3 linked regions of the Lonchura striata genome follow. The protein of the gene in region 2 interacts with the protein of the main gene of each other region in a pairwise test. Links are inferred from orthologs where the notes say so. Each region holds a gene or a part of one and is shown on either strand. Other genes may lie near its edges.

Region 1 (7,117 bases), on a different chromosome or scaffold from region 2:
ACTTCCCCTACAACACAGACCGAGCCAGCCACTATTACCAGATCAATTCTTTGATTTCTACCCAAAGTTTTTAAAATAAATAACCAAGTCAGTCTTCTTGCAGGTACAAACCAATAGACAACTCCAGTGATTTGAAAAAGAGGAGAACTATTTATTTTCATGAAGACAATCCTCACTTAATGTCTGGAAAGGTCCTTGCAAACACGCAGGTAGCTGCAGCCAGAAACTGGATGCAGCACTAACTAATCCTCCAGTACCACCACCAAATACAATAGGAAAGACACTGGCATTCAGCAGAGGAAGCTTCTGTGTCACTGAAAGAAAATAAGTGCTTTTCAATAGACTACTGATCCTCAACTAGAGCATGACCAGAAAGGCCTTTGAAAAACACTTTTCGTTTTGCACTGTTTAGGCTTTTTTAATTAAAAGAGAGGTTATCAGATGATTTCAGTGTTCTGAAAAGTTTCAATGGCAGTACAGCATCACATAAGCAGGTGAGATGTCACTACACTTCTAATTTCTTCCCTGGTCAACAGTGATGAAAGTTTTACATTCCAGAATTTTGTTTTACATTTAAAACCATAAAACTACTTAAGGCATGTGTTTAAATCATGCTTAACTCCTCTGCTGCTCCTCCCCAAGCACTTTGCCTGCAATACCGCAACTCCCAACAATCAATAATATTTAATAATTTGTATATTCACTCCTACATACATGAGGGCAGAGCCCTGTTTCTCCTTAAAGGTTTAAGTGGTTTCTTTCTATCTATGCCAGCAAATTTATTTAAACTACAGCCTAACTAGAATTCCCAATGTCATAGAATCATGCAGGCTGGAAAACATCCTCTAAGATGAAGTTCTTCTAGACAAGTATCATTTTGTTCTACGTATTAAATACCAAGAGAACCTTTAGCTCCGTGTTCATCCCACAGGGTGCTATGGTCTTGTCCCAGCAATTTTCAACATTTCCATCCCCAAAAACCCACCCTCCCATATATTTCTTATTAAACTTTCTCTTTTTGAGAGGCTGATCTTAAATCACAGGTCAAAGCCTCTCCTTTCCAAGTCAGACTGTATTCCAGCTCTCTCGCGGGCCATGGAAATAAAAAGTTAGCAAGCAAAACCCAAAACTTCCATAGCAAGACAACACATAAGGACCAGAATCCCTCAGACCAAGGTCAGCACACCAGAGGACAAGCCCATTGCTGGGATTACAGTGCTTAAAAGCAGATAAAGTTGTTTTCACTGATGACAAACTCTTTTAAATAACATCTTAAAAACAGCCAAATGCAAGGTCACACATTTGTAAAATACCATCCCAGCTACAGGAATGGGAATTTGTATCAGGGAAGGCATTAAGGACTTTGGGCAGCACTGCAGATGCCACGTGAAATTTCCTGACACGAGTCAGTAGCAAAAGGGACTAATGGAAGACTTGGAAAGAAATATCAAGGACAAAGACAATACTCTGTGTTTCTATCACATCACTGAGATCAATAATGGACTGTCACCCCTCTCCTCAGGGACCAACACTTTAACAAGATTTTAAAAGCCAGAAATGCCAGTAGAAATAACTACAAGACCATCAGAGACCTGAAAGAGACACCCTAAGGGCAAGCTGTTTTAACAGGAAAGGTAAAGGGATGGCTTAATTACCACCAAAGGTCACCAATTAGAAAATAAACCAGTTCTTTTTCACATCTAACACAGAAAATATACAGAAAAACAAAACAATTCCGAGTTCAGTTAAAAACCTGGTTTTAGAGGTTTGCTTCATTTTGGAAAGTGGAGATAATTGAGGATATTAATAATTAACAACTAAGGCAACTCTGTCACTTGTTGATAGCGGGTGAATTCAGGACACATCAATCAGAGGTCAGCAAATGCAGCACAATCGATGATCGGATGAGTCTCGACAGCCCATGATGAGCTCGTTGTGCTGTGACCCCAGCAGCTCTCCTGAATTCCAGCACCAAGGATGGCTTATCCAAAAGCTGCACCAAAACCACCACACCTAAACCACGCTGTGGCCACTCCAAACTTGACTGTCAGCGGGCTGCAGCTGGATGCCATATGGCCAACAGAGGATGGGATCACTTGGCACGGCAGCACAAAGCGATGGCTGTAACAGCTCCTGCCAACCCCCAAATTCCTAGAGGCAAGCGATTAGGGCAGCAAGTGACCCCTTTCCCCTAAAGCCACACAAAGCAGAAGACACAGCCCAGCATTCCAGAGGTCGGGGCAGGACAGGACGCCCAGCTGCCAAAAAACACAGAGTCCACAAGCACCTGACAGAGGCAGGGCAGGAGAGGCACTGACCCTTCTCGTTTCACACAGTAACTGAGCAGCCTCTCCCATACCGGCACCTGTTCTTCCCCCAAATCTGGGGTCAGCTTCTCCTCTTTAGCTGCAACTTTCCTTTGCTCATACCTCGTGCTAAAGGCACCCCCACACCTGTCTCTCCAGGCCCTCCCCATTTAACTCATCTCCCCAAACCTGCAAGCCCAAACCCTCTGCCTCATGCAACTCCTTCGAAATCTTTCCATGAGCCACTTCGCCAAACACAGCCCCAAGTGATGGAACCCTGTCCCTGAACCTCCAGCCCTGCTGAGCACCTCCTGCCCCACTAACACCCCCAAGTCCCGCAGTACAGACCTCCGCCAAACGCAGCCCCCCAAACCCTGCTGTAGAGAACCCTCTTACACACAGCCGCCCCAAACCGTCCTGTAGAGACCCTGCTCACACACGGCCTCCCAGAATCTGCTGCACGGAGCCCTCTCACACACAGAACGCCGCTCGCACACAGCTCCGCTCCCACTCCCCCCGCCGCGGCCTCCTCAGCGCGGGGCCCGCGCAGGCCGCACACAGGCCCAGCCACCCCGGCCACCCCCAGACCCGAGGCCGGAGCGCGTTCCAGGCGCGGTGCCGAGCCCGGCACTCACTCGGGCAGGTAGGTGGAGGAGAAGCTGCTCCAGCGGTGCAGGCTGTAGGCCAACACGCGACTCTCCGCGCCCGCCGGACCCGCCGCCGCCGCCATCTTGTTGTCAGCAGCGGCCCCGGCAGCGACCGCGGGGGGCGGGGCCGCGCTCTTAAAGGGGCCGCGCTCTTAAAGGGGCCGCGCTCTTAAAGGGGCCGCGCCGGCGAGGGGGGGATGGACGCTCTGAGGGACTCGAGGGGCTGCTCCGTGGGGCTGAAGGGATCCGACGCTGCCCCTTGGGACTGAGGTGCCCTGAGGCGTTCGGGGGTGTCCCGTGGGGCTTAGATGGGCTGTGGGTCTCAGGGGGTACCTTGAGGGGCTTAGAGGATGCCCTATGGAGCTGAGGGACCCAGAGGGGCTGTGGGTCTCAGGGGGTACCTTGAGGGGCTTAGAGGATGCCCCATGGAGCTGAGGGACCCAGAGGGGCTGTGGGTCTCAGGGGATGCCTTGAGGGACTTGGAGGATGCCCCATGGAGCTGAGGGACCCAGAGGGGCTGTGGGTCTCAGGGGATGCCTTGAGGGACTTGGAGGATGCCCCATGGAGCTGAGGGACCCAGAGGGGCTGTGGGTCTCAGGGGGTACCTTGAGGGGCTTAGAGGATGCCCCATGGAGCTGAGGTGACCTGAGGGGAACAGAGGGGCTGAGGAGATGCCTTTAGGGGCTCAGAGGATGCCCTATGGATCTGAGGTGGCCTGAGGGGCTCAGAGGGGCTGTGGATCTGAGGGGATACCACATGGAGCTGAGGAGCCCAGAGGGGCTGTGGGTTTGAGGGGATCAGAGGATGGCCATGGATCTGAATAGGGCCTGAGGGGAACAGAGGGGCTGTGGGTCTCAGGGGATGCCCAGAGGGGCTCAGAGGATTCCCATGGAGCTGAGATGGCCTGAGGGGCTCAGAGGAGCTGTGGGTCTCAGGGGATGCCCAGAGGGGCTCAAGGGATGTCTCAAGAGTTTGAGGTGAGCTGAGAAGCTTGGGTCGTGCACTGTGGGGCTGAGGGGCTCAGGGGGTGCAGTGGCAAGCACATTTCTCTCCCTCTCAGGATTTTTCATAGAGGTGCACAGAGAGAAATGAAAGAGAAAACAGTTCCTATTTCTGCTCCTTGTTTTTCCCATGTGGAATGTGTTTGGAGAATTGTTTCCCTGGGGTGATTGCTGGGTTGGATTCTGGTGAGGATTTTTTGAGCTGATGGCCAATCCAACCCACCTGGGGCTGGACTCTCAGAGAGGGTCACGAGTTGAGTTAAAGAAAATAGTATGTAGTTTTACTATCTTCCTTTTTATATAGTATATTAATGTATTTCACCATAGTTATAATAAAGAAAACATTCAGCCTTCTGAATTGAGTCAGACATTGTCATTTCTTCCCGTTGGGTTTGCCTGCATTTACAATAGGGTGCCCCATGGGGCTGGAGAAGGATGCCCTGAGGGGGCTCAAGGGGGCTGAGGAGTGTTAATTAGCAAAGGAGATTCTCCTTCCCTGGCCCACAAGGGTAGGTGGTTGGGAAAGGGATCAAGAGAAACCCAGCGATGTTTGATCATACACCAGCTCCTGGAATTATAAAATTGTGAAGGTTGGAAAAGACTTTTAAGACCATTGAGTCCAACCAGCAACGCAGCACTCACAGGACCAGCACATAAGTTGGCATTCCTTGATGACCTTTTCTCTGTCTGAGGTTGTTGTAGGGTTTTTCCTGGAGCAGGGAGATGTTTTCACCCAGAGCTCCCACCAAAGCAAGGGGGAAATTTAGGACACCCCTGGGGGAGTTCTGGACTACTTGAGAAAGAAGGGGAGATATTTCAAGACCACAGGGGGGGGGGGAAAAAAAAGCCAAACCAATAAACCACTGTCTGTTGGAAATGACAGATTGGAGAGATATTATGAGGCAGGACAGCAGGATGCCTGGCTAGATTAAATTAGCACAAGGATTCTTTTATTTTTTTTCCCCCTTTATTTTAGGAAAGTGAGTGAGAATGTGGCAGCAAAATCTGCCTGCGGATGAAAAAGTCGCTCAGCAGCCTTGAAGGCTGAACATCAACTGGGTGTTTCAAAAATGAGGGGGAGCAGAAAGCACTTCATCTGAAGACCCCTTCCCAGAGGGGGTTTGCTGTGTTTCCACTGGTATCAAAGCCATGTGACTCGACAACAACACAACAAAATCCATGGATGATGAGGTACAAACATCCACATCTCCTTCTGCTGCTTCACTAACAAGGCCTTTTGAAGTTTGTGGCTTTCCCGTGGCATTTCAGACTTCACTTATCCCAGCTCCAGCCTGCAGGCATCCCCCTCCCAAAATTACCACAGGAGTAATAAAACAAATACTTTGCTGATAATATACTCCCAAGCCTAGAGGAAGAGACGTCACCTCAGTGTTCAGAGCCTTGCTAACAACCAGCCCAAGGGGAGCAATGCCATGTGGAACCTGTGACCTCTGAATATGAAATTTAGTGGGTTGAGAGTGGGGGTAACAGCCCTGCAGCAGCCTGGAGGAGGAGGAAAAGGAGGAAGAGCCAGCAGCTGGCTGCTGCACAGTGAAACCACCCCAGGATTTCTCTGCCCAATATCCTGTTACCACTTGAATCAAGACCTGGATGCCAAGCCAGCGTATTTTTAGCACATTTTGGACGTAAAGTGAAGGGAATGCTGGTGAAATACACAGTACTGACAGCCCTGGAAAATCTTTATTCATCTGCAGCACAGGCAGCAGGGAAGGCTGTGAGGAAGCAGAGCAATCCAAAGCTGCAAACCAAGGCCTCTGGTCTCTCCAGCACAGCCTGCCCAGTCCTGTGCAGTTACCACTGGCTGCTGGAGAAGAGGGTTTTTCCACACTCCGAGTGGACAGAGCACAGTGTGGAGGAGCATGATGTGCAAGGCAGTGTTGTGCTGCGGATTTGGACAGCCTGCAGCCTCCAGATGAGCTCTCTGTATCCCAAGCAGGGCAGCTGCTGGGGCCCAGCTAATGACAGGGCCATAGAAGAGGGGAGAAAATTCAGAAAACATGAGTATCTGAACCCCACTGTGCTGATCCAGGCCTGTGCTCTGCTTGCTCTGCCAATGTAACACTGGATCTGAGGAATTTGGGGAGCCCAATGCCACCAACATGCTTCATCCTGCCTCCAGCAGTGACTGAGACCCATTGCTCCAGGGAAGTACCACAAAGAGGGCACTTACACATAGAATCACAGAATTATTAAGGTTGGAAAAGACCTCTAAAATTATCAAGTCAAACCATTAACCCAGCAGTATCAAACCCATCACTAAACTATGTCCCCAAGTGCCACATCTATGTGATTTTTGAACACTTATAGGGATAGTGATTCCACCACTACCCAGAACAGCCCGTTTCAGTGCTTGACAACACTTTCAGCAAAGAAATTTTCTGTAACGTCCGATCTAAAGCTCCCCTGGGACAACTTGAGGATGTTTCCTCTCATCTCATTGCTGGGAGCTGACACCAACCCTCACCTGGCTGCACACTCCTGTCAGGGAGTTGTAGAGAGTGAGAAGTTCCCCCCTGAACCTCCTTTTCTCCAGGCTGAGCCCCCCCAGCTGCTCCTCATCAGACTTGTGCTCCAGGCCCTTCACAAGCTTCCTTGTCCTTACGAAGCAAACCTCGTGCAGAGTTTTCCTGCTTCTGCCCCCTCACTTGGGACTTCACTGAAACCTTCCAGCACGTTTTGGTGCCTCCTGGCCCAGAGCTGGCTGGGTGGATCCGTGCAGCCTGTGGCTGGCTGCTCTCTGAGGATGGGGCCGTGGAGGGGAAGTGAGAGCTTTCCTAGCAGCAGAAGGTCCCTTTGGCGTTCAGGGACCAGCCTGCCAGAGAACTCACCCTGGACGTGTGCCTTGGACAGTAGCTGGAGTTTCTGGGAAAGGCCAAGGTGACCACAAGAGATGTTCCCCACGTCTCTTTGCCAGGAGGATGCACACACAGCATCTTCATGCTTGTCATCAGCGAGCTGGAACCCCAACTGCAGGAAACTGGGTGATTTTACAATTGTTTGTCGGTCTCAAGACAAATTTCTCATCCCCCCCATCAGAAACTCTTCTCTACTGCTCGTGTGTTTCGAGTTTCCTCATGCAAAACCTCGCGTGGGCGTTTGGATATGTAATGAGCACATAGTTCAGGATGAAAACAAGTTTCGT
Region 2 (7,298 bases):
TCCCTGCTTGCAATACATCAGCACATTAAAATTATGAAGGTAACTATACTTTTAATGCTTTTGCGCTGATTGTTCCTCTCCACTAATTTTTTCAGTAGCCCAAGCACACCCAAGGTGAAGGCAAAGCACTACTGTTAACACTTTCTGCCTCTAATCAGTCACAGAACAGAAGGAAAGTGCTCCAGAAAAACAGATCTATAGCTAGAAATCTACAGAGGCAGAAGAGAAAATTTAAGCGTACAGGGCACCTATACTACAGTAGTAGAAAATAGTAAGAATTGCTTTAGGTTACTGGCTTTTCCTTGAATATTTTCATCAAGAATACAACAGTTCTTTAGCTCTGGTCAATTCATATTTTCTTTCAAAAAAAACATCCGATGTTCTTCCACTAATACTTAGGTAATTTCAGAAGCACTGAAAGCACCAGAATTACAAAAGAAGATGCAATGAGCACTTTCTTTTGAAAACAAATTTGTAGAAACACTATTTCACAGTCCTAAGCACATTCTTACTTGCCATCTTCCCTTACTCTCTTCACTGAATCTCCTCATTTTCTCCCCTTTTATTGTATTCTTAGGGCTGAAGGATCCAGGAGGGAGAAAAGGCAGGAGATGTTTAGCATGTTTGCCCCCTGGTTCTCAGGTAGAAATACTCAGATACCATTCACTTCTTAGCCCAGTTAGCAGTTCCAAGCGCCAAGCTGGTAACATAAACATGGAGTTGCCCTAACAGCCACCTTCATTAAATTATCCAGTAGAAAAGATGGGCCACTTAAGAAGTCATTTACTTCCATATGCACTTAGGAAAAAGAAAAGTACAGACATGCTATATTGGCACCTCCTTTTCAGAGTCCTTTCAGCTAACCTAGGAAACTCTTCAAACTTCAGCACTTACTATAACTTAAGAGCTAGAGTAAAGGTACTTCATTGTTACAACCTACTAACTGTGTTTCATGACTTCCGTAACTTCTTTGAGGTAATGATTTCCCTTAACACCATGGCAAAGGAGTTAAGTGAGGAAAAACAGGGACAGCACAAGGAAAGCTTGAAAATATACTTCTGAAATAACACAGAGATCAGAGAGGTTTGACCTCTAAATTCTAGCTGATGAGAAAAAAAATTGACCAAAGCAAAACAAACCAGCAGAAGTTGATAGCCACTAAGCTATGATCATCTTAGAAGAAAAAAACACCAAAACCAAACAACCCACTGCCACTAAGCACCAGAAAATACAAAATGTTTCTAAAAATACAAGGTCATAAAACACTGAACAAAAGCCAGGAAATTCAGAGTATTAAATTACACATCCTTAAATCACTCGGTGCCTCCTAGAAACCTGCTTTGTAGTCATCCAGCTCCTTTATTACCTTTGTACGGTGCATTAAACTTAGCATTTTTAACAGAGTATTTTGCGTGTAATAATAAAACCTCTCTATTAAAAAAAAGTCTGAGAGTACATTTAATCCTTTCATGGCAGCCAAATCCTGCCATGTGTTTGTGTTGCCGTTTTCCTCCTCCGATTAAACAGTAACATATTTATCAAGATTTCCCTTGAATTTCTCCACTGCAAACTCTGAGAAAGAGTAATTGCATGGCTGTTTTTTTCCCCTCCCACTACGTTCATTTGACTACAGACTGACAAAAGATCCAGTTCTTCACAGCCAACTCAAAAGTGGCTTTGAATCCACAACACTTCTACTTCAGGACTTTAGGCCTAGAACACCAGATGTGACTGTGTTTTTTCAGGTCAGAGTGTAGGCTTATGTTTCCAGGTTTTATGACATTTCATAACAATCAACACAAGTTTTTCTTCTAATGATTCTCGCTGATGTTATTTTTTAATACAAAAGCATACTGGTTTTTACATTTTATTTGAAAATTTGTAACTTTAACTGTGAAACGTCTAGGAAGAAAGTTTCAGTCACCTTCATTAATATAAGTCCTATTGTCGTTCCTTCCCTCAGATCACTCTGTGCAATAGTTAGGCAAGACTATTACCAGTGACTTTAAAGTAATTTTTTTTTTACAGATTAAAAATAAACCGTGTTTTTCTCAGTGCTTTCCCCTCCCGTCATTTCCGTGTTCAATAGCTTAACGTTTGCTGCTCTTAACTGCATTTAACCCTTGCTCTTCTCGAGAGGTGAAAAAAAAAAGCAGCTACTTCTTTTTCTCGCTCATTACCATAAACAGGACACGTCATGCCGAGCGTCCTTTATTCTCCTGCCTCCGACCCAAACGTTCCGGCGATACCTGAATCCACGGAGGAAGTCTCGGAGTTTACATAATGCCCACTCCAGAAGCACAAGGAGGCGGGGGCGGCCCCTTGTGTCCCCCCCTTTCCCCGCACGGCGACAGAAAGAAGGGGGGGGGGGCGGGGGGGAGGGGAAAAGAGAGAAAAATAAACCTGAAATAAGGGAAAACAAGCCCCTTATCTCCACGCTGCGGGGGGGAATTTAGGCGATCGGAAAACAGGGAAGAAGGAGGGAGAGGAGCGTGTGTTATTTCCTGTTATTGTTACTCCTGTGGCCACCGCTCGACGGAGGGGTCGGGCAGCCCCCGGCCCCGGGGGGGACAGGGGGTGTCGCGGCGGCCCGGGCCGCCCCTCCTCACCTTTGTAGTGCACCCGCAGGTTGTTCTGCGAGAGGCCGATGTAACTGAATTTGTCCTTCGGGCTCCAGGAGCGGGGCAGCGGCGTCTCCTGCTCGTCCACGGCCGGGTACAGCCTCTTCAGCCGCCGCTTCAGCTCCTTCTCCTGCTCGTTCAGGGCCGGGTCTCCGTGCGGGAAGGGCGCCGGGGCGCCGGTGCCGCTCCCCGCCGGCAGGCCCAGCGCGGCGCCGGCCCCGCCGCCCCCCGCGGCCGCGGGCCCGCCGCTGCCGGCCGTGGCGGCGGCGGGCGGCGGCGGCGCCGCGGTGGCCGGAGGCGGCGGCGGCGGGTGGAGCAGGAGCGCGGCGGCCGGAGCGGGGCCGGGGCTTGCGGCGGCGGAGGGGATCCCCGGCGCCGGCGGGGGAACGGCGGCCGCCAAGGAAAGCTGCGGCGACGACGGCTGTTGTTGCTGCTGCTGTTGCCCGGACATCCCGGCTCCGGCCTCCTCCTCCTGCTCCTCCACCGCCACCTCCCGCGGCGGTCGCGACTGTCACCGGACGGGCCCGGGGGCGGAGCGACGGGCAGGCCCGGGGCCGTGCGGAGCGCGGGTCACCCCCACAACCGGAGCGTCTCAGAAGAACACGGGGGCGCGGGGTGGGGGAGGATTGGCGGTGACGGCGGCCGGCGGAGGCGCCCGATGGGAGCGAGGGGCGTCGCGGGGCGCGGCGGGGCCGGGGGCGAGGCGGGCGGAGCGGCGGCGGCGGCGCCGGGCGGAAGCGGGAGGCGGGCGGGGAGCGGGCGCCGCGGCGGCGGGGCTGGCTCGGCCCCCGGCCCCTCCTCCGGTCGGGGGCGCGCCCGGCGCGCACACGCTCCGTCCGGCCGCCAGCGCGCTCCCGCCGCCGCGCGCCCCCGCGTCTGCTGAGCCGCGGCCCCGCCCCGCGCCCTCCGCTCGCTCGCGGCGGGGCGGGGCCTCCGCCCCTCGGCGGGCGCGAGGCGCGGAGGGCGGGGCGGGAGAGCGACGGGGCGATGGCCGGGGGTGGGACTGCGGGCACCGACCGGGGGCACGGCCGGGCCCCTTGGGTCTGCTGCTGCAGGCACCCGCGCGTCCGGAGCTGTTGGGGGCTCCCTGGCGTGACCCGGACCCGTGGCGAGCTTTGCTCTCGCCACGGGTCCGGGAAGGTGGAAGTCTGAGCGACCCCCCGAGGGTAGTGGGAAAAGGGACACTGACCCTCAGGGGATTACTGGTGTTGCTGCCGAAGGCCAGCCCAGTGGTGCCTGTCCCCTAGTTATGAAATGATCATGGAATCAGAATATACCACTGGAGAGCTTTGTCCAAATGTGTCCTGAACTCTGCTAGGCTTGGTGCTGTGACCTCATCCGTGGGGAGCCTGTTCCAGGGCTCAACCTCCCTCTGGGTGAAGAATGTTTTCCTGATCTCTACCCTAAACCTCCCCTGACACAGCTTCACGCTGTTTCCTCGAGTCCTGTCACTGGCATTACAGTCGTGAGACTGTAATGATAATTCTCCTCTCGGTGTTGACCTGGGCACATCAGACCTGTTGAAAAGATTTCTGGTGTAACGCGGACGTGTTGAAAGGTTTTCTCTGGGACAAAGTCAAGCTGACGCTCAGAGGGGTAATGGGGAGAGAGGCATTAACCCTCAGTGCATTAATGACCGATGCAAAAGGATTGAGTAACTGGAGTGAGTCCAACGGGGATTGTCCCCTCCTGGTGAAATTATACAGTTATGCTGCCTTCTGTTGTGGGTCATGACATTGAGCTGGAGAAGAAGGAGAAGGAGGCATTGCTCTGCCTCCATTGGGGTTGACTAGGGATGGCGGCTGGGGAACAGCTGGAGACAGGCCGGTGTGTGCCGCCGGGGAGGCTGCGTCTCCTGACAGGCACAACGCGGGTCTGCTGCCCACACCTTGTGTTCAGCACTACAGTTGGTATGGGGAAACGCCACTAAGAGCATTTCCCAGAGGTGAGAAAGTTTGGGAATGCCTCAGCTCAGGGGGACAGGAGGAGCAGCGCAGTGTTTCTAGGGGGTTTTGTTTGGGGCCTGTTTCCCTTTGGTTTGTATGTTGCTGGATGGTTTTGTTTGTGCTTAGTGTTGTTGGTTATTCAGTGGTTGCCCACACTAATATATTCACATGGCAGCAGTGAGAGAGAAGTGGTTTACAGATTGGCAAGCTTACCTTGGAAAACATTAGAAAAGGAAAGTAATGTCACTGGCAAGTCTAGAACCTGTGTCCAGTTCTGGGCTCCTCAGTAGAAGCAAAACAAGGATCTTCTGGAGAGGGTTCAGCAGAGACCACAAAGATGATGAGGGGTGTGGAACAACATCTCTCTTATGAAGAGAAGCTGAGGGAGCTGGGCCTGTTTAGCCTGGAGAATAGAAGACTGAGAAGGCATCTCATTAATGCATATAAATATCTCAAAGGTGGGTGTCAAGAACATGGTGCCAGATTCTTTTCAATGGTGCACAGCAACAGGATGAGGAGCAGTGGCTGTAAATTAAAACAGAAGTTTCACCTGAACATGAGGAAGAAGTTTAAACTGAGGATGGCAGAGCACTGAACAGACTGCCTGGGGAAGCTGTGGAGTCTCCCTCTCTGGAGACATTCCAAACACACCTGGATGTGTTCCTGTGTCACCTGCTCTAGGTGACCCTGCCTTGGCAACAAAGTTGGACCGGATGATCTCTTCCAACCCTAACAATTTTGTGATTCTATGAACCTGAAATATTGATCACTTCACAAACCCTTTTCCAGTTGCCAGCATATTGGAGTATAGGCACAGAAGCAGGAAACAGAGGAGGTTAATTATGCTTCATCTGTGTGAAATGGCATGTGAGGTAATGGAGGTGTGACACTAACAAAGGCTTGTATGAAGCTAAACATTTCTCACCTATAGTTACCAAAATATCCTGTCACATGCAACTGCTTGGTGATGTCTAATAGCATTTATGGCTGGACAAAATGCAGTTATCTAAAAATACCCTATCAGGAGGAGCTGCAAACTGTACAAGTGTAGAAGTGCCTAGGATAGATGTTGAAACATAAGCTGGACCATGCCCGAGGGTCAGTTACCCTGGCACTGTAGGCTCCCACTATATATAAATTTGCTTTCTAATATCTAGATGTTGTTGTAAACCATGAAGCTTGGTTGTTTACATTTTCATTAAAAATGTAAGTATTTGGCCAACTATAGACATTGGGAGATACATTTGTTATGTTCATAAGTGTAGATGTGTCTTAAGTCTTTTGTGATTATCAATAAAATTTCTGCCATATCGATTTCCTCAGTGTGTCTCACTTCTAGCATTTGTGCCAAAATGCTTCATGTCACCATTTGAGATTGCCACCATGAGGTTTCTGTTTCTTGAACAGTAAGACAGGAGAAAGATGTTTCTGCACTTACTTCTTGACATTATTTGCTACTTTGCTACTCTGGTTGCTCTTATCACATCTTTTGCCATCTTCCAAGGATAAATAATCCAAGTGTAGCAGAACACTGTTTTTTATAAAAGTTTGTTCTCCAAACTATGCCCATAGACAAACACATTCACATCACTTTTTCTGACTGCACACTATGCCAGAGGTTTTATAGAGAATTCTAATAATTGGCATTAACCAGTATGTTATTTATTCCTCCTGTGTTCTGCTAACTTTTCTGACTACAACTTTGTGAGGATTAGAAATAGCAGATAGATATTTACATAATGCCCAGTTTACTTTCCAGTTTAGTATAAATGAATGGAAGCTTGTCAGATTTCGAAGTGGAACTCACGTCCCTCCCTAATGTGCGTTGTTTTGCATTTTCAGTATTGAATTTAATTTGCCATTACATGGTGCATTCTGTTTCGTTAGCACTTCCTCATCATCACAGTCCCCTCTTGTCTTGCTTAGCTGAAATAATTATGACAGCTGCAAATGTTGCCATCTCACAATACAGCCCTCTTTCTAGATCAGTGGTAAATACAGCAGCAATATGAGACATGCCGCAGAGCCCCGAAGCTGGCTGGCATTAACCTTCCACCATCATAGAAACTTGCAGTTCAATTCTGCTCTTTGTTTGCCATCTCCAGTTTTTGAACCATGATTGTACTTTTCTTTTTGCCCAGTGATTATTTAGCTGCTTGAGTCCTCTTGCTTAGAGATTTAATCAAAGGCCTTTTGAAACACTGTAAAACATTGACTAGTCCACCAAAATCGCTTTGTTTTTTGGGGGTAGTTTCTTTTTTTGATGCTTTCAAAGAATTTCAGTAGATGGATCAGCTAAAGATTATTTAGCTTTGCAGAAAGCCATGCCCCCGTTTTCTTAGGCCTAATTTTGACATTCAAATGCAAACATTCTCTTCTATATGCTTGGTTTCCATTTATGTTTACTTTAAGGGACCAAAGAAAATTTCTACCAAAGAAAATGCGATCCAAGCATTCCAGGCACTGAGGGTATTTGTTTGGCCTCTCGTTGAGCCTATCAGCAGGGAGTCAACGTGTGGAACATGTGTTTTAAAGTGAGTGCAGGTGATCAGTCCCTCAGTCCAGGAGTCATATCCTCCAGATAGATGTGCTTCGTGGGCATCAGCTGTCAGTACACCCATTGCTCTCCTCAGGGAATCCAGAGCCAGAGGAGAGGGAAGAGCAACTCTGGCTGACACCCTTCAGGCAGCACCAGTAAGAATAAAACTGTCCTGATGGCACAAACACATAT
Region 3 (7,301 bases), on a different chromosome or scaffold from region 2:
GCTTTACTTTTAGTGCTACCAAAGTGGCATTACACTGTAGTTTAGAAGTTATATTTGTCACAGGGCAATTTATGATGGCTCAGAGTTTTCCATTTATTTCTGAATGCCTTGTGGAACCTGTGAGGCCCATAACAAATATTTTATTAGTGCATTCTGAGGATTTCCTAGAAGTATATAACTGTATTTAAATTATCTATTTGAATCTCCTTCCATCAGCAAAAGCTGTTTTATGGCCACATAAATATTTTTCCCTACATTACCATCTGTGATTGGGCAGAGTAGTCAGTCTCTGTGGACAGTATTTCTCCAACAGGAGCATCCTTTGTGTATGCCTAACGCTGCCTTTCTGGCATATTAGAGAAATCAGTATTTAGAGTGAGATTGACAGAGATTACTCTTAAATTATGTGATCTGTATCTGCACACGTGCAGGGAGAGACAGAGACAGCACTAGGTGGGGGAACCTAAATAATTCTCTGCCATGGCTACTCCAGAAGCCACCAGAGGAACCACCATCCCAAAAAAAGACCCATCTCCTCACACAGGAAGGAGCCCCAGGACACAAGGGCGGGTAGGAGAACACCAATAATGTCATCAGAGAAATGAGATCTCTCCCTAGACTGTCCCCAGGCTGTCACAGGGGAGCTTCAGCCCCATGGGCCAAGCACTATAACCAACACCACAGGGGAGTAGTTTCCTGGAGCACTTCCCAGACTGTGGGGTGTCACTGCTAGGGATATGGGACACAATATGGGATTCAGGAGAAGAGTATCTTCGGATTGCACAAAAACGTGTCACAAGATGCTTAAGGGAGGAAGAGATACAGGCAGGAAAAGGGAGGGATACAGGCCAGCCACTGGGTACACTAAGGCTGCAGCCTCAGGGCCCCTGTGTCCATGTGCAAACAGCTGGGATGCAGGGAGCAGCTACTGGGCAAACTGTCTGATCCAGATCCTCACTGGGAGAGCCTTATGGTGTACATGTACACACATATATTCCCACTAGGAGATTTTCACCCTGAACAGCCGGAGAGGGAGCAGGGTGAAGCTGTTGGTGCAATTTGTGTTTCTCTTAGTGCTATTTGTGTCTGTGCTGGTCTGTGGGGCCAGATGTGTGTATATGTTTATGTGTGGGTTCTATAGACCTGACTATTGGGAATACAAACCCAGTCTAGCTATTAGCTGGACCTAAGGGCACAGAGCTGCAGCAATCTCTCCTCTGTTGACCTACTGGATTTGGAAAGCCTAACCAATGACCAGGAATTGAACTTGCCAAATACCTAAGAGCTAGAAAATTGTAAGATTGTATGAACTGAACTGTTCCACTTACTATTGTATTAAATTACATCACACATTAACTTCCTCTAAACCCTTATGTCATTAACTACAGTGGTCATTTTTTGGAACATCTTACACTCTTCTCATTCAATATGTAGCTCCAACTCAGCAAAAGTAAAATTATTAGTTTGTCAAGGATAGTTAAGAATATAGCTAACTATCAAGGACAGCTAATAACTACAGTCCTTAACAAAATGTCATGAATCTGCTTTGTAGCCTTGCCAGATAAGGAAATTGAAGACTATCGTCCAGGTTGGAAGAGACCTTAAAGATCATCTAGTCCAACCATCAATGTGGTCCAACTGACACCCTTCAGACTTGTTATGCAAACACAAAAACTATCACTTATAGCTACATTTATTAAATTTAGAAGTGACATTTTATTTTCTACAATGGCAGAAGAACTCAGAGATTATGAAATTTAAAGTACTTATTTTCAACTAATGGATATAGTATTTGCCACTCTGCAGATTGCCCTTATCTGCAGAGTCACTGTCACAATCTAGAAAGGCAACACGGGTGATCTGTGAATAAAGAAATAATGCAAATGACTAAGACTGCTTCATTTCTATGAAGAAGGAAAAAGCTGAACTACTACCAACAAGAAGTAATTACTGGTCTTCAATTTCACAAACACCCTTTCACCAGAATCTTGGCTACACAGTACTATACTATCTGAAATTATTTGAAGAAAGGGTCTCGCACATTATTACAGCCAAAATGACCTTTACCATCTGAAAGCATTATTCTAAGCACTTATTTCACATTGCCTATGTCCTTTGAAATAAGACTTGTAATAACTTTCCAAAGAGGTGCATTCAACTATCACTCCCCTACCTTGAAAGTTTGTTTAATGAGGCCTGTCATAAACAGGCTCAACTCCCAGGGCTTTTTGCCAGCCCTCTCCTCATCCTAAGTTTTCATCTGCACCTGCCAAAAGTTTGATTTATTTAAGCATAATACTTTTTTTTGTGCAATCACTTTTCTGTGAGCAGTCATAAAGATGTGTATTATAGCTCAATTTACCTCAGCATCTGTTTTTAAGGGTTTTTTAAATGACATTTTAATGTAATTTTTAAGTCATTTTTAATGCACAAAAGGGCCTTCTGATAGTGAGGATGATACAAACCTGGCTATGACACAAGATACAGAATGGATCTCCTGGCAGCCTTGATTTTTGCTCCCCAACTTCCCCATCCCTTCCACAGCCAGACACAGTTGTATTCAAAGGGCTAAATACTAATTGTGTACTTGTGGCTTACCTTAAACTCTTCTGATGGCTTTGGTGCAACAAAGGGCAAGCACAGAGAGAGGCTCCCACACTCTGTGCACATACCCAGAGATTAAAGTCTCTGAGAAAAGCCCAGTTTTAAAGCCTTGTTCCTCCTGCTCTGTGTATGACTATACATGCAGGGGATAAAGAAGCAGTGTCTTTGACCACGTAAAATCTCTGAGTTCTTGCTTTCATTTGTCCATAGCTATTTCCAGAGACAAAAATATCTCCTATTCTAAAGCTCCTCCTAAATGCAATGCTAAATGGGCTCTCTCCTACTCAATGAACGATGATGAAAATACTCTCTCTGGCCATGAAGCAATACATGCTATCTACTGAAAGTGCCCATTAATAGCTTACTTGTCCTTCTCCTTCCATTTTCACTTTAGAATGAAAAAAGGAATACAAATTCTCCAGATCTATATCCCTCTCGAAGTCCAGTGATGCCCCTTTCCCATTCCCTCTTCTTCCTCCCCACAAATTATCAGATAGACATCGAAAGAGTGTGTGGTCAATTCCGCTACTGTTACCTGCCCTGAGCAGCACTGGTTCCCCCTGCTTGTGGCACAAGCACATACTTATACTAAAATGTCCAGGATCTTTCTCTTAGGCTGCAACTTGTTTCTTCTCTACTTTTGTCATTATCACTCTTGAAATAGCGGGAGGTGCTCCGCGCAGGGTGAGCAGAATAAGTGCGCATCCACAATGAGGCAGTGGGAGCAATCACTGCTACTCTGTCACCTTCCTGTTCACCAGGAGATATTTTTTCTGCCTTGCCAGGGAGCTCTTCTGATTTCATTAGTGAGACAGTAAATGAGCTAAGTCCTAATAATCAGCCATCAGGCAGTCCCGCGCCTCTGCACGCATTTGAAACAACTGAACACGAAAAGGTACCGGTGAAAACAAGCGGTGTGCGAACTAAGCACCCAGTAACATTGAGTGCACAGCTTAAGAACGGTTTTGATGTCGTTCTTATTTGTGATATCACATCCGATAACAATCACACCAACCAGGGGAGAACATCCTTGGAGCTCTGAACAGAAGGTCCTCTGAAAATCCTGAGGATCCATGAGATCCGAGTCATTTCTAAAGGACAATTCTGTTCACAACCACCCCTCCGAAAGTGTTGCCCTAAAGTTCGTCACATTTTATTACAAGGTTCTGTTATCTCTATAATCACTGAGGACATCGTTTTGCCAAGATCCCTGTCTTACTACGATAATCTCTCGCGCATCGATCTCCTCTCTGCACCGGCCTTTATCTCGCCAAGTCAGTCTCCGCCGGTTTTGTCTTTCCGGCGCTTGCCACCGATGCCCGCGGCTCTGGGGAACGAACATGTTAAGCGCCTTGCCTTCAAGTGCCACCTGCAGGGGAGGCGCACACCGCCGGCGCTGCCCCCCGCAGGTGCGCCCCGCTCGCCGCTGGGGGCGGCCGCCACCGCGTCCCGCCGGCCTGGGAGGAGCGGCGGCGGGCAGCGGGCGCGGAGGCGGCTCCCGCCGCTCCTGCGGACACGGCCCCTCCTCCCGGCCCGCCCCGCCCGCCTCACACATGTGCCCGCACCCAGCGGCGGGGCGCACCGTCGGGGCGGGCGGGTGCTGTCGCCTCGCCGACACCGCGGCAGCAGCGCGGCGCGCCGGGCGTCCCTCGGGCGTGGGGAGCGGGCGGCCGCGCTGACAGCGCTGCGCCATGGCTGTCGCCTACCTGCTGGGCAACGGGTCCGCGCCGCTCCTGGCCGGCGCCCTGGAGGTCCCGTTCGCCGCCAACGCCTCCGCCTGCCGCCCGCCCGGGCCGCCCTGCCCGGCCTGGGGCAACGCCTCGGCGGCGCTGGGCTGGAACCGCTCCGAGCCCTGCGGCGGCGGCAATGGCAGCGCCGGCGGCGGCGGGCCCTGCGCGCCCACGGGCGGCGGCCCCTCCGTGGTTACCGCCATCGCCATCATGGCCCTCTACTCCGTGGTCTGCGTCGTGGGGCTCTTCGGCAACTTCTTGGTCATGTATGTCATCGTCAGGTGAGTGCCTGCCTGCCCCGCCCCGCTGCCCACGGCCGCTGCCGTCGGGGCGGAACCCCGCCGCCCGGAGCCGGGATGCGGGACGGTGTCCCGGCGGGGATGCTGCGGTCCCCCTCCGCCGGGCAGCGCGCTGAGGGGTGCGGACGGGCGCCGGTCCCCGCGGGAAGGGGAAGGAGGCTTTTGATAAAGAGCCGGAGCGGGTGACGAGGGAAGAGAAACTTGAGGTGGAGCAGTGAGGGCCGGCCGGTCCGTCAGAAGCCGCTGCGCGTCCGAGAATGTTCTAAAGACCCTCCGACCCCAGCTGCCCACCTCTGCGAGTGGCTCTGGCCAACGGGGCCTAAATCCCGTACCTGTGCCCTAAGGAGCGAGGATTTAAAGAGACTGTGGCCACTGCCTGTGAGCGTGTACGGGTACGGGGTGGTACACGGATAGCCGGCACGCATCCACCTGTCTTTCCACCCACCTCTCCCAAATGCACGAACAAAATGTAAATGGCACTGTGGTTAAACGCTTCCTGTGGCCGTGTTTGGAGATCCTCTGCCTCATATCTAGATCTATATGTGTATATTGAAATACATTTATATATGTGTATAGACATACATGCGTATACACGTGTATAAATACGCATGCAGTGATGCGACCGCTTTCTGTAATCCCGGCGTTCCGGCTGTGCTGCGGCACTTCGCAACTTTCTCGCCCGCAAGAGAAAAAGCCCCAGTGGGGCTCTTACAAATCAGATCACGCGCGATAAATCCATTGCCCGTAAATGAGCGGAAAACGAGTGAGAGAGATGAACAGAGGCTCCCTTGCCGGCCTGGCCGCGGAGCCGGCAGGTGGCATCCGTGGGGGAACACTGCCACCTCCCGGGAGCGACGGGCCGGGGGCGCGACAGGACGGGCCCGACTGAGCTCCTCTCCCTTCGCGGCTGCTCGTCGTTTCCAAACCAAGCATCCCTTGAGCCCTGGAGAGCTCAGCGGGCGCTTTTAAGGGAGGAGATAGGGGTAGCCCAGGGGCGCTCTCCGTTCCTATGGAGGCAGCCCCAGCACTTCCATTTCTCCTCCTCGTCCGGAGCGTCCGTTCTGCCTTTAAGCTCTGCGTTCCCCGAGAAGTCGGGCCCGCAGGAACCGGGGCTGTCTCTTGGCATCCCTGGTGCACCAGCGGCAGCGGGCGGCTTTGTGGCGTGTGTGTGCAGCGCAAGCTGTGCCAGCTGTAGAAAGCTGGGGCTGAGGGTCGCGGTCACGGTGGGGTATTGCAGCAGCATGGAGGATGCGGCACGTGTTAGGGATGTCACTGCACAGCCTGTGCATCTGGTAGACCCAGTGGGAACACAAGTGATATCCATCAGTGGTTCAGTCTAGAGCAGTTCAGAAGCCTTGTAGGTTTAACTATGCTTTAAAGGCTACATACACAGAGCTGGGGAGATTCTCTTCTGTCTTGTGGTTTTGGTCAGTCTGAAACTCAAGCTGTCTGTGTGAGGATACATCTGCAGAAAGGCTTCTGAGTGGGGGCATGACTGCAATCACTGTAGCAGTGTTGAATGCATTCCTCTGGGAGGAAAAGCAGATGCACAGTGTAACAGAGACAGGATAGCTGTCAGCAGAGAAATATGCTCCACCTTGCCCCTGGAATTATGTATTTATTATCCTGGGCATAACCCTTACTAGGTTCATATTTCTTACAGTAATTAATTGAATTACACTTGCACCACAAAGCCAAATCTAATGAGGTACTTGTATTTAGATTCCTATCTAAAGAAAGCCTTTTTCTCTGAGATGACAGCTTACAAACAAAAGCCAGAAGCAATAGCAGAAAGCAAAAATATATTTTCATTTTACAGAGGAAAACAAAAATTAAGTGGCTTGTCCAAACCATCAGGATTGTTATGGCAAACCCCACATCTCCTTTGCAAGAACAGCTTTTGGTGTGACAGAATTTGTTCCCAATTAACACCACACAGCTGTTTAGCAGTTAGGATGACAAGGAATTTACATGCTAATGGCTGAATAGGATCTGTGGCTCAAGCAACATAAAAATACATTCTCTTTCTGTGTTTCTCTGCACCTGTCGTGTATCTGGTCAGCAATACAGGACTTAGTGATTGCATTTCCTGCTGCAAGCTATACTAGCTTGAAAGTGTTTCAAATTAGAATATGAGCCTATGAAATGGTGACCCTATATGTCCACATTCGTGCCTCCTTTCATCCAACTACATGTAAGAGGCCAAAGTTTCACTGGATTGAATTTGTCACCATATAGAACTCCCCTTCATTTGCCTTTCCCATGCCTGCTCAGGAAGGACAAAACATTGATCTTCAAATTAATTGCGAGGGAAATTGAGGCTACTAAAAATTAACATTTTTGAATAATATTGGTATCTAGTTTGTCTTGAAAATACTAGGAGTTGGGAGGTAGGTGCTTAGATGTTTGAAACTGTCCTACTCACCTTTCACCCCAGTGAAAGCAACAGTGACTTCAGATCAAGTGTGCTGCATGCTAACATCTCATGCTTGGTTTCTTTGGAAATAGTTTTAAAATAATTATATCATTCTTATAAATATTATTACTCTTAAAAATTTTCCACATGAGGCAAATCCAGGGGTTTGGAGCCAGAGCTGTGCAAGTGCTGGCCTGAAATGGAACTATCATTATCACTCGACAATGTCACCCTGCTATCTCTGCTGGGGCA

What was found.
Region 1: the proteins of RANBP9 (region 2) and MKLN1 interact in a two-hybrid assay, tested with the Homo sapiens proteins (2 studies listed by BioGRID). The link is inferred for Lonchura striata from reciprocal best matches to the Homo sapiens genes RANBP9 and MKLN1.
Region 3: the proteins of RANBP9 (region 2) and OPRM1 interact in binary tests that used the Homo sapiens proteins (3 or more experiments, as listed by UniProt). The link is inferred for Lonchura striata from reciprocal best matches to the Homo sapiens genes RANBP9 and OPRM1.

The regions. Positions count from the first base shown.
Region 1 is NC_134607.1:69,883,650-69,890,766, reverse strand, and holds the start of MKLN1 (muskelin), read right to left. Parts: upstream 3,063-7,117; 5' UTR 3,037-3,062; coding exon 2,942-3,036; intron 1-2,941. UniProt on the Homo sapiens protein: Component of the CTLH E3 ubiquitin-protein ligase complex that selectively accepts ubiquitin from UBE2H and mediates ubiquitination and subsequent proteasomal degradation of the transcription factor HBP1.
Region 2 is NC_134603.1:89,018,925-89,026,222, forward strand, and holds the start of RANBP9 (ran-binding protein 9), read right to left. Parts: upstream 3,073-7,298; coding exon 2,610-3,072; intron 1-2,609. UniProt on the Homo sapiens protein: May act as scaffolding protein, and as adapter protein to couple membrane receptors to intracellular signaling pathways. Acts as a mediator of cell spreading and actin cytoskeleton rearrangement.
Region 3 is NC_134605.1:55,700,998-55,708,298, reverse strand, and holds the start of OPRM1 (mu-type opioid receptor), read left to right. Parts: upstream 1-4,295; coding exon 4,296-4,615; intron 4,616-4,965; exon of another isoform or gene 4,966-5,001; intron 5,002-7,301. UniProt on the Homo sapiens protein: Receptor for endogenous opioids such as beta-endorphin and endomorphin. Receptor for natural and synthetic opioids including morphine, heroin, DAMGO, fentanyl, etorphine, buprenorphin and methadone.